Drosophila melanogaster: one gene and its partner. Changing the gene in region 1 together with any one later gene gives a genetic interaction. Each region holds a gene or a part of one and is shown on either strand. Other genes may lie near its edges.

The links. Genes that interact genetically often act in the same process or in processes that back each other up.
Region 2: of tub (region 1) and wek, changing one enhances a phenotype caused by changing the other (phenotypic enhancement), as found in Drosophila melanogaster (one study listed by BioGRID).

Annotation. Positions count from the first base shown.
Region 1 is NT_033777.3:4,384,886-4,391,521, forward strand, and holds tub (tube), read left to right. Parts: upstream 1-2,856; 5' UTR 2,857-3,044; coding exon 3,045-3,507; intron 3,508-3,573; coding exon 3,574-4,499; 3' UTR 4,500-4,928; downstream 4,929-6,636. Other genes in the region: Cont (contactin), read left to right, coding at 6-172, 236-1,108, 1,165-1,333, 1,395-1,528, 1,584-1,877; CG14646 (uncharacterized protein), read left to right, coding at 5,541-6,173, 6,226-6,636. UniProt on the Drosophila melanogaster protein: Plays an essential role in the Tl receptor signaling pathway that establishes embryonic dorsoventral polarity; the signal directs import of dl into ventral and ventrolateral nuclei, thereby establishing dorsoventral polarity.
Region 2 is NT_033779.5:15,765,633-15,771,397, forward strand, and holds wek (weckle), read right to left. Parts: upstream 2,718-5,765; 5' UTR 2,600-2,717; coding exon 2,474-2,599; intron 2,414-2,473; coding exon 1,508-2,413; intron 1,448-1,507; coding exon 1,101-1,447; intron 1,037-1,100; coding exon 1,003-1,036; 3' UTR 501-1,002; downstream 1-500. Other genes in the region: CG3793 (uncharacterized protein), read left to right, coding at 43-79; Ku80, read right to left, coding at 3,107-4,739, 4,799-4,921, 4,977-5,209, 5,265-5,360, 5,418-5,432; CG31826 (uncharacterized protein), read right to left, coding at 5,712-5,765. UniProt on the Drosophila melanogaster protein: Acts as an adapter to assemble/stabilize a Toll/wek/Myd88/tube complex; required for efficient recruitment of Myd88 to Toll. Dispensable for innate immune response; plays a minimal role, if any, in the immune defense against Gram-positive bacteria and fungi.

The sequences.
Region 1 (6,636 bases):
TACAGAGGAAATTCGTTTCATTGAAACGCCTCCACAACGAATCGTTTCTAAGGAACACGACTTAATCTTCTTGCATTGCGAGGCCGCCTTTGATGAACTCCTCGACATTGCTTATGTTTGGAAACACAACGGCGAAGTCCTAAAAAACAATCACGACGGCACCGGACGCATTGTAAGTTAATGTTCTGAAATCTGCACTAAACCTGTCCTTATATTAACCTTTTTGTTATTGCAGATTGTAGATTGGAACAGATTGACAGTGCATAACACGAGCATGCGCGATGCCGGGGACTACGAATGCGTTGTCAAGTCGGCGGTAAACGAAATTAGCAGCAAGACCAGTGTTTCTATTGAGGGAGCTCCTGGCGCTCCTGGTGGTGTTCAAGTCATACAGATAAGTAAAACGAAGGCCATCATTGAGTGGGTGGACGGATCGCACAACGGTCGTGCGATCCGCTACTACAACATCCTAGGCCGTACAAACTGGAATCGCACCTGGGTTAATGTGTCGACCCATGTGCAGGCGCGAGAAGTAGATCGATACACCTCTCGCCAGCAAGCCGAGGTTGTCAATCTGACGCCGTGGTCGGCTTACGAATTTAGTGTTACTGCTGTAAACGATCTGGGAATCGGAACGCCCTCGGCCCCCTCGCCAATTTACAGCACCTATGAGGACAAACCATACATAGCCCCGAGGAACGTGGGTGGTGGAGGTGGAAAGATTGGCGACCTAACTATCACCTGGGATCCGCTTCTACCGCAAGAGCAGCATAGCCACGGCATACACTATAAAGTGTTTTGGAAGCTCAAGGGAGCCATTGAATGGGCATCTGACGAAATAAAAAAACAGGATCACATGGGCGTGGCTGTGGTTAATATTCCTCTTAATAACTACTATACGGAGTACGAAGTCAAAGTCCAAGCCATTAACAGTGTTGGCAAGGGACCGGAGAGTGAAATAGCTGTCATACACTCCGCTGAGGACATGCCACAGGTGGCTCCTCAAAAGCCCATTGCGCTCGCCTACAACTCCACATGCTTTAATGTCACTTGGCAACCTATAGACATGTCCCGTGAAAACATTCGTGGCAAACTCATTGGCCACAGGGTATGGTTACTGCACTTAATTCCATTGCATTGTCAAAAACCCTTATCTTTCACCAGTTGAAGTATTGGAAAACGACGCACCAGGAAGAAGACTCGGTATACTACCTGTCACGTACTACAAGGAATTGGGCGCTTATCGTAGGTCTACAACCAGATACTTACTACTTTGTTAAAGTCATGGCTTACAATGCTGCAGGTGAAGGACCTGAAAGCGAACGCTTTGAAGGTGTGTAACGAACAGTTTAAAAAACCATTTAAAGAAAATGCTTAAACACCATGCTTTTTAGAACGAACATATAGAAAGGCCCCGCAAAAGCCGCCATCTTCGGTTCACGTGTATGGAATAAACCCGTCTACCGTGCGGGTTGTTTGGAGATATGTTTCACCTTCGCAAGACGAGGAACCAGTAGAGGGTTATAAGGTACAACTCCCGGCACCGTGACCAAGAAAATCGATTACAGTTTGAAACTTTCTAGGTTCGCATTTGGGAATCGGACCAGAACATGATTACGGCCAACAATACCATAGTGCCAATCGGACAGAAACTGGAGTCGTACATCAACAATCTGACGCCAGGGAAGAGTTACAACATGCGAGTCCTCGCATACAGCAATGGAGGAGACGGTCGCATGTCCAGTCCAACTTTACACTTCCAGATGGGCAAGACCACGCGCAACGGCGCAAATACCCGACATGGCCACAATATCAATACGGCTCTTATCTTAAGCACATTGCTACTCATTAGCACCTTTCTTTACACAAGCCAATGAATGCAGCACAAATTAAGATCCATAACTTTAGGCAGTAAGAACATACATATACTAAGAAGTGACCTTATATTTGAGTAAGTGAAGTTATAAAAAGAACTACATTCCATCCGTGCTCTCTTGCAAGCCCCTTAATTGATACAAATGCAATTCCGTCCATTTTATAGACTTTTATCAAAAAATAATTTCTAAAATTTTATCAACAAAATAAATATGAATACCATTATATGGTCCAGTATGTTGCTGAACTAAAAATAACAATATCCCTATTTTTTTACTTGGAATAATGAATTATGAATTAATTATGAACGTGTGCCCCGGTTGGCCATATTTATGTCCCTTTTTGTTCACCTGGTAATACTACTCCTGCATTTTATACCCGATACTCGTGAAGTAAAAGGGTATACCAGACTAGTTAAAAAATATGTAGCAGGTAGAAGAGGTCTTGATCAGGATCGATCTGGCCATGTCCGTCCCTATGGACGTCGAGATCTCAGAAACTATCACAAATCAAAATTAATTATTGTCCAAAAATATCAAAAAGAACTAAGAACTAAGTGTTTATTTTTGGTTTTTCGATTATTTATTTTGCTGCTATTTCATCGCCCGCGTAAAACGGGCGGACATGGCTATATCGACTTGTCTGTTTTTACTGATTAAGAATATTTAATACTTATATATATGTATACGTAAATGTCTATTCGAATTTCCTTTCTACCAGGTACCCGGTATTCTTCTACAATTACAAACGAAAGCCATCTATCGGTGGGGTTACATTTATTGCTCACAACGCCGGAATATGTCATTAATGAAAAAAAAAGTTTGGTTTTTTCTTACTTTGCGTTAAAAATTAGTGCAGTATTGCAAATGGCTAGCTATTTTCCGCATACGGAAATACCACACAATACCAATCGGCTTCGGGAATCCCCCTAATATTACATGACGAATCTAATATGGTGCTGCGGTCCTCCTCGGTCACACTGAAATACTGCGAGCAGCGAGCAGTAGCTGTGGGCATTGGCAAAAACATAGAGAGAGAAGATAGATGCAAACATGGTTTTATAGCGGAAATCTCATACAATCGCACTGGACATCTGGGAACTTGAACCATCGACCTGCCACAGGCAAAGGCTTTCCCGTAAGGTTATCCTGGGTAGCTAAGGGAACACCATGGCGTATGGCTGGAACGGATGCGGAATGGGCGTGCAGGTGAACGGAAGCAACGGCGCCATAGGTTTATCCTCGAAGTATTCTCGCAACACGGAGCTGCGACGCGTTGAGGACAATGACATTTACCGGCTTGCCAAAATACTAGATGAGAACTCATGCTGGCGCAAATTGATGTCGATCATACCCAAGGGCATGGATGTGCAGGCCTGCAGCGGAGCCGGATGCTTGAATTTTCCGGCGGAAATCAAAAAGGGATTTAAGTACACTGCGCAGGACGTGTTCCAGATTGACGAGGCTGCAAACCGACTACCGCCGGACCAAAGCAAGTCGCAGATGATGATCGACGAGTGGAAGACCTCTGGCAAGCTCAACGAGCGGCCCACGGTTGGGGTATTGCTCCAACTTCTGGTGCAGGCAGAGCTCTTCAGTGCGGCAGACTTTGTGGCACTAGACTTCCTAAATGGCAAGTATGACTATGTTTGCCTTAAACTGACAAAACTAAAAAAAGTGTATCCACTGACTTCTCTAGAGTCCACCCCTGCCCGGCCTGTTGACGGTCCCGGTGCGCTCATAAGCCTTGAGCTGCTGGAAGAGGAAATGGAAGTGGACAACGAGGGGCTGAGCCTCAAATACCAGTCAAGCACTGCCACTCTTGGGGCAGACGCTCAAGGTAGCGTTGGCCTGAACCTGGACAACTTTGAAAAAGACATTGTGAGGCGGGACAAGAGTGTGCCCCAGCCGTCAGGAAACACCCCTCCCATAGCGCCACCTCGACGACAGCAAAGGAGTACTACTAACTCCAACTTTGCAACATTGACAGGCACCGGAACTACGTCGACGACCATCCCGAATGTGCCCAATCTGACAATTCTCAATCCCAGCGAACAAATTCAGGAGCCAGTGCTGCAGCCACGACCGATGAACATCCCCGATCTGTCTATACTCATTTCGAACTCTGGTGATTTGCGGGCAACTGTGTCGGACAACCCAAGCAACAGAACTAGCTCAACGGATCCGCCTAACATTCCGCGAATCACTCTTTTAATTGATAATTCTGGAGATGTAAACTCTCGACCAAATCACGCTCCAGCGAAAGCTTCAACGGCTACCACATCAACGGCGAGCTCAAACAACTTGCCAATGATAAGCGCCTTGAATATAAGTAAAGGCAGCAGGGAGACCTTGCGTCCTGAGAGCAGAAGCAGCTCCAGCAGCTTGAGCAAAGATGATGACGATGATAACGATGGTGAGGAGGATGGAGAGGAAGAGTACCCAGATGCCTTCTTGCCAAATCTGAGTAACTCAGAGCAGCAGAGCTCAAACAATGACTCCAGCCTGACAACGGTTACTGGCACCAGTGGTGATAACAGCTTTGAGCTAACCAACGACTCCAGCTCCACCTCAAACGACGATTACGCTTGCAACATTCCAGACTTGAGTGAGCTGCAGCAATAGATAAAAGCACCGACCATCGGCGGAGATGACATTCCGTTCGATAACTTATGCAACCCAGATGTATTCATTTGGCAGCTGGGTGTGGACCTTCTTATGTTATGCATGAGGTCCAACTAGAATCTAAGATTCAGTGCACGATTTGTTCATATCACGTCTGTAATCGTGACAGTACATGACAAGTACGGCAATATCAAATATTTCCGTTTCAAGAAAGCCATAACCCAATACCAAAATTTAACAAATTTTGTATACTTACGAAATACTCCTTCATTTTCTAGTATAAATTTCCTTAAACGCATAATGGGTTTCTGTGACAGTTTTGTCTTGGGACAAACTGCGATCTTATGACATTTTTCGTTATTAATTGATTGTTGCCTAAAATATTTCACAAGTACGATATAATGGCTAAATACAAATAAAATATTTTTGAAAACATTGTCTGTTTTTCTCGACGTTCATACTGATAATATACCACATGACCGCTTAAGTCAAAGCCTTTTTCAGGGCTGTAAGTTCAAGAGTTTAAGGCGACTGTTTTTTCTCGGTGAAAAAACTTTAGGTTTTTCAAATGAACGAATGCATTTTGTATGTAATTTTTGTACTATTTTATTTATGTGCACAGGTTAGTTTCGTTTAGTTACTAAATTAATACACTGTTGTCCGTTCCAAAATGTACACTTACCTTTCTCCTCGGATGACATGTCCATTGCCTTTTCCGTATAACTGCAAATTTTTGATTTTAATTGTTTTATTTTTGTTGTTCGAAACAGCAAACAGTATTACTCCACATTTGCTCTAATGCCCCGTGCCCGTGGCACGCAGAATAGTCGATCTTCAAACTGCTGACAATTAAAAATGTCTCGCACCTTGTTTTTATTTAAATTCTCATTTGCTATGGCGGGCGCGGTACGATATTGGTCCCGTGCTATCGCGTACCATTCATAATATCGATATCTTAAGAACAATAATCGGGAATTTGTTGGACACCTCTAGTGTTCGACGAAACCACTGAGCCAAACAAAATCCGAAATTATTCGCAACATGGACGAGTCGGAGCTGCTATTCAATCTGTTTTATATTCTGTTGTGCATGGTGATCATCTACCCGCCAGAGGAGTTCCAACGCCTGGGATTCACCATTGAACAGTTGTTCGCTCGGTTCCTGGGAGAAGAGTACCTGGACTTTGTAGGCTACCACCAGCGCCGTACTTCGCTGAATCTCTTCGTGCACTCCTGTCTGCCCTTCTCCTACTTTCTTATTCATAGGCTCAAGTTCTCCGTCTTCGCCACGCAGGAGCCCTTGGAGGACTTCGACCTGGACCCGGATTTCCCCATGCCCCAGGAAGCGGTAGCGTTTAAAACGCTTACGTGGAAAACCGCCCAGCGGTTCAGTGTGTTGGCCGTTCTGGCGATGCCCGCTCTGATCTTCAACTGGCACCAGGAAAACTGGCGTCGGCACCCGATCAGCAAGGCGCTCTCCAAGTACTCCATCACGCCGGGCAGCTACAGTGCCGTGGCTAGCGAAATTGGTATAGAGTTCCGGCAACCGGAAATATACAAGAAGAAGCTAAATTCCATTAGCTCGGTGATTGCCACGCAGAACTGGATAATAAAAACCACCATGTACAATGTTCACTTCGCCCATCAGAGCAACACGTCGCTTAGCGTAGCTAAGGTCAGTGGTACACGATTCCTTTGTATGTGCGACCCTAATATTTTGTCCGCAGGCAGAAACTTACAACATATCGCATCAAGACCAAAACGACACCTTGCAGATGATAAGCATTATTGTACGGCCAATGAGGCAGGGTGTGAGCGACTTCCACATACGAATTAATGCCCTGGAGTTTAGGAATCTAGAGAACCGAGTCCGACGACCAATCGCAATTCCCTCCAACATTCAGTTACACCGCAATGTTATAGACCGTTTTGTGGACGTCTTCAAGGCGCAAGTCGCCCAAAATCCCATTTTTCCAGATGATGCTACTACGGAAAAGTGTTTTGCCTGCATGCTAAACGAACCAAACACCAAGATCCACAAGCAGTGTGCCGACTTTGATCGCAATGGCGCTCCCTTGGCGAACGGGGCGTGCTGCTCAAACTGCTACTGCCGGCCCATGTGGTGTGTAGAGTGCCTA
Region 2 (5,765 bases), on another chromosome or scaffold:
GTTTAATCAACATGATTTTTTCTTTCCTCTATTTCCATGCAGCGTCGAAGAGTTAATGTCCTCGCTGAACATTGACTAGGAGTGAGTGAAGGTGGAAGGGATAGAGAGCCAACCTACTTGGATGCACTATTTATTGACTCTGCTCGGTTTGGAGGAAGGCCATGCCAAAATATTTTGCTTCTCAACGTGTTAACCTAAACAGCAAGTAATTAAAGAGAAACCATCGAAATCAAAACATGTTTAGATATTTATCCTACACAGAGACCCACTCACAAATGATCTAATTTGTATTAATTTAGTTGTTCCTTATATTTTTTTCTCTTGTTACATTTTTATTATTTAATCGCTTAATATTTACTATTTTATCACCGAGTTGTGGCACAAAATATTGATAGGTGATCAATATGCCATTCATTCATTCCCCAATTTAAGTGTGCGTTTAAATTGTAAATGTATTTTGAAATTATTAAAAAAAAAACCAACTTAAATGCAAAAAGGGCCGTTGTGTGTTTAATTAGGTGTCAATGTATCTGGTGTTAGCACGAAGCATTTACATTTGCTGAGTTATAATTTCAAACTGATTTTATTGTGAATAAGCCCTTGGAATTATCTACAGACCAACTTGTCGCAATCTAGTGAACCATGCGTGGGAGTTCTATGAATAGCGCTCATCTTTAAAATATGCTGCAACCGCTCACAGGAGTTTCAATTGAGTGTTTCAAAGTGTACGCATAATTTGGTGTCACAAATTACAATTGTTATTTTTAAATCTACATTGTGAGTCAAACAATTATTATCTTTTATACAATGTCATTTTCATGTGTGAACACATTTCCCAATTTAAGTGTGCGTTTAAAAAGTGAATTTATTTTGAAACTTATTAAAAACCAATTTAAATGCAAAAAGGGCAGTTGTGTGTTTAATTAAGTGTAAATGTAAATGTCTCTGGGATAAAATTTTACTGCGCACTGCTATTTATACATTTTTGTCAACCAACATGGTCTAATCCTGTTTGGCCTTGGCCATCTCGCGAGTTCTGCAAACCAAAAATTTAGTACAATAGTAAGCTAATAATAATAATATGCATGACTATAGCTTACATCGCTCTCAGTTCTTCCAATGTTGGCACTGGAACACGTGAAGATTCGGTTTCATCCTCCTTGGACGCCAGTTCCGGATGTTTTTTCCATTTGTGGGAGCGACAGTTGGTGTTGCTGGCGAACGCCTTTCCGCAGTACTTGCATACGTAGGGTCTGAGGCCGGTGTGTCCAAGGAGATGGATCTTCAAGGCCGTGGAGTTCTTACAGCCGCTGCCACAAACCTCGCACTTGAAGCGCCGCTCATCCGTGTGCACATACTTGTGCTTGTTAAGAATCGCCCGTGTCTGCAGCTTTTTGCCGCAGACATTGCACTCAAACTTGGGCTCACCATGTGTCTGACTGTGCACCTGGAAATTGTATACAAATTTCAAGATTTAGTTGGTCCACAAGATTATTCGATGACTTACTCTCAGCCTAGCTTTGTTCTTAAAACCAGCATTGCAGACGGGGCATATACAGGGCTTCTCTTCCGTGTGAACCAGCTGGTGCTCCACCAGCGATGTGAAGGTCTTCAAACCCTTTCCGCAGTGATCGCAAACGTATTTCTTCGGACCGCCGTGCATGTCGTGCTTGTGCCTGCGCAGAGCCATGAAGGACATAAAGGTTTCGTTGCAGATTTTGCAGGGATAATCGACGAAATTCGAACTCTGGGAGCCATGGGGTGACATGCTCAATTCGGATGTCTTGTCATCTTGTTTGGATTTAGCATTGTCGTCTGGTTCGCGGGAAGTTACGTTATCGCTGTCGTCCACGTTTTTCTGTTTGCCTGAGCCCTTGGGTCTGCCTCTTTTTCGCTTCAAAGGCGGCGGGGATACGGCCTCGTCTTCGTCTAGAATGGCCTCCTCATCATCCGACTCGGTTGCAGTGTACACTTTGGAATTTCGCTTAGCCGCAAACTGCTGTCGGCGACTTCGTTTTGTTTCAACTTCAGGAATTGATGCAGTAGGTGAGGCTAGCACTTTGGGATCGGAATTACACTGTTTGAGATTAGCTCGTGTTCGCACGGTCTGTGCTTCAAAATCGGGTGACGGAGATGTGGAATGGTCTGATATCGTTAGCTCCTCTACCAAGGAACACCTATCCTCCGTATCGTCTATGTCCAGGAACTCGAGGTCCTGCTTGCAGGCCGGCGGAAGGCCGTATTCCAGACGCAGGGCGTCCAAGTCCTGGCTATCCTGCGGCTCCGAGTGTCGCAGAAGCTCAAAAATGGCTTGTACTTTGGAAACGCTATCCGAGAAGGTGATCAGCTGGCCAATCACCGAGTAGCACTCCTCGCACAACATGCTGCCCAGTTCCGGTTCCTCGAGGGTCATCTGCGTGTGTGGAAAACTAATGTATAAGCTATCTGTAGGCTGGGAAAACGAATAACATACCTCCACATCAAAGCATTTGCTGATAATCCTAACCAGATCGTCGTCCCGCTCGCGCACTTTGTATACAACGTCGTCGCGGGCGCACAGGCGACACCAGTATATCCAATCGCTTGTGGGAACTCCCATGGCTAATCCTCAACAGAAGCCCCACAGTTTGGTACAGTATGCCCTCGGGTTTTGACTAAATTCTATTGCCAAAGCGCTGATTAAAATCAGCTGTATGGAGCGGAATTCCGAATCGATTAATTGGTATGCGCACTCCGATGATTTTTGGAAATATCGATAAGTGCAAAACAACAAGTTGTTGCCGCCATTTTCAAAAAGTATTCAGTTTAAATTTGGAATTGAAAATTGTATTTATTTTACTTTTTTTTCTCAATCATAAGAAGTATTACTAACGTTTTCCTTCCTGCGTGTCGATGTTTATTAACATAGAGATGTATTATCATCATCATTTGGATGTGGTTTCCCAGGGATATAATGTTGTTTTTAAAACATGCGACCGAGTTTTTACTCTGGTATATATATATAAACAATATAATAATTTATTTTCGACTTACATATAAGAAAAACTGTGTATAACAAAAACTAATTTTAGCACATTTGCTTAATATAACAAAATGGAATGATAAACTACATCTCAACGTCTTCCATATCGTTCGCCCCACTCTCCACCCAATTCTCGATGGTGTAATAGGCTTTTAGAGCCAATTCGTCGTCCAGCGTCGGCTCGCCAAGCACCAAAGGGCCCAATTGCTTGTCGACCATAACGTCTTGCCAGAATTCGCTGCGATTCTTGGCCAGCGCGATCTTCTTCAGCTCCTCAGCGAACTTGTCGTATTCCAAAAAGGTGTTGAAGTCTATACAGCTCTGTCGGTACAGGGTGATGAGCTCGCCCAGTTGCCCGATGTTCTGTTTCCTGCGCTGCAGCAGTGTGATGATCACCACGCGGGTATCGGCAGCCAGCGCCTGAAAGCGGGCATCTCGCTCAGTGGCATTACTGATTGTGTGAACGCTAGCCAGGACTCGCCTGAAATCAGAGATTGGATCAATTAAGCCCACACCGTCTGATGGCAACGGGATTTCCTTCTCCGCTGGTTCCGACTTGACTGCCACACCATTCTCTGCCTGCTCCTTGGCCAACAGCTTTTCCTGCCAGGCGCGACTATAGCGCAATGGAAATAGCTTCTTTACGATGGCTGCCGCTCTCTTTGACTTCTCCTCCAAGGGATCTGGCACTCGCCAGAATACATCTGCGAAGTTTTTGTCCTTAAGCATTTTGTCTTCCTTGTCGTTATCATAGATAACTTTTCGCTCTAGGATGTCCATGACATTCTGCTCAAAGATGCTGGGAAGTGCGTCGAACGGCAGCAGATCATTCTGCGCCCACGGACGTGGCTGCTGCGTGTCCCGCAGTGTGCACTCCAGATCGGTGCTATCGATTAACTGATCAATGGCATTCAGCTGTTCCTCGCTGCACTCCGTCTTGGTGGTTCGCAGTGCCGGAAAGTCCCAGAAGTGGTGCTGAGACGTATAGGAAACTTCCAGCATATACAAAGTAGCCGGATGGGTATCGTCTGCTAAGCGGGGCAGTAGCACAACCATTTGCGGTCTATTAAACTTGGTGCTATATATTTTCCAGCACAGTATGGCCCGATCCGAAGAAACGAGAGCACGCACCAGAGCGTCCAGCTTCACGGCGGCAGATTGATTGTGCTTCTGATGCACCAGGAGGTACAAGGACTCGCCACAAAAGTACTCATCCGGCACGGCATTTCTTTTGATAAAGCCAAAGAAGTGGAGACCAGGTGGGTGTGGTTCCTTTGGCTCTAGCACGGCCTCGTCGTATGGCACCGGAGTGCCGCCCAGCATGTAACCGGTTATCAGATTCTCCGGCAGCGGGGTGATCTCAGTGCCTTTGATATAATGACGAGTCTCCCGTATCACTATCTCATCCTTTTCCGCCCAGACCTTTACCAGCTTTACGGGCGTCTGGTTCTTCATGGCGATTATGCCCTGCAGGCTAATGGAGATCTTGCTGCCGATGTTCAGCTTTGCGTTCCACACCCAGGGTCGCCGGTTGGTCACCTTGAAGACGGTATGCAGTGCCTCCTTGAAGCTGCACAACGTCGCATTGCAGCGAGGAACGAGACTGAGGGCGTACTTCTGGTTATTCAGCTCATCGGGGCCGCATTTGCGCGAAAAGTTGAAAATAGCCTGAGGCTGAGAAGTGATGGCATTGTCTATGTAGGCTATGTTGTGAGTTCTAAGTGATAATGTAAATTATTATTACTATTATGCATTTAACAAAATAAATAATCTTACCCCACAATTAACTCGATGTTTTCGCCAAGTAATTCGTCCGTGATTTCGTTGAACTTCTCGTAGTCCTGTGGAAAGTCGTTGAAATCGAAGAGCAGGAGGATCCTCCGCCTGGCGACTCTCAAGCTGCAAGGAATATTCCATAAAATGTGATGGTTAGATGATAAGGTAAGTCACATACGTAGTTGCGACATTCTGAAGCTCCAGGGCCGCCTGTAGACCATTTAGCCATTCTCCATCCTCGCAGGCTGTCTTATTCACAAACTGGAAGAATTCCAGCAAGAGCTGCCAGCTGCAAAGTCTTGGTTCACCAAAGGGCAGCACATTTGGGTGGGAAGCATCCTCAGTTTTTATTTCATCGGTGTCGCAACCCACGAGGACGAAGGACACGTAGTCCTTCCTATCGCACACGATCTGCAATTGTTTCAGTTAGCATATTTAACTGAGTTCCCAATTGTATTTCACACACCTTGTCCTTAAGAATCTCCGCCACACATTTTGCGGACTTCAGCTTCACTTCTTCGGCGGCACATGTTCGCACATCCAGTACAATTATAAGGCATTCCTGGAAATCAAACAATGGAGATACCTTAACATTAAATGCGATTATTTGTGAACCTACCTTGTTAGAAGCCATCAAACAAGTTTATTTACCTAAATTCAGCGACTATGTTTTTAAATTTCACAACAATAATACCATTCAGTCGATAACAGAAAACACCGGCGGCTTACTGACCTAATGCACTACCACCTATCGCTTATCGATATTTCTAGCACCGCGTTGCCAACTTACTTGCTAACTGTTACTTTTCATAAAAACGAAATGCAAAATTTTGTTTTAATTATAAATAGTCAATATATTTGGTTCGTGCTCAAAATACTAATAAAATAGTAAGCAATAGTTCCCCATATCTCCCTATGCCTTTCCGTAGGTCTGCAGCTTTTCCAGATACTCCGCATTCTGGCTCAG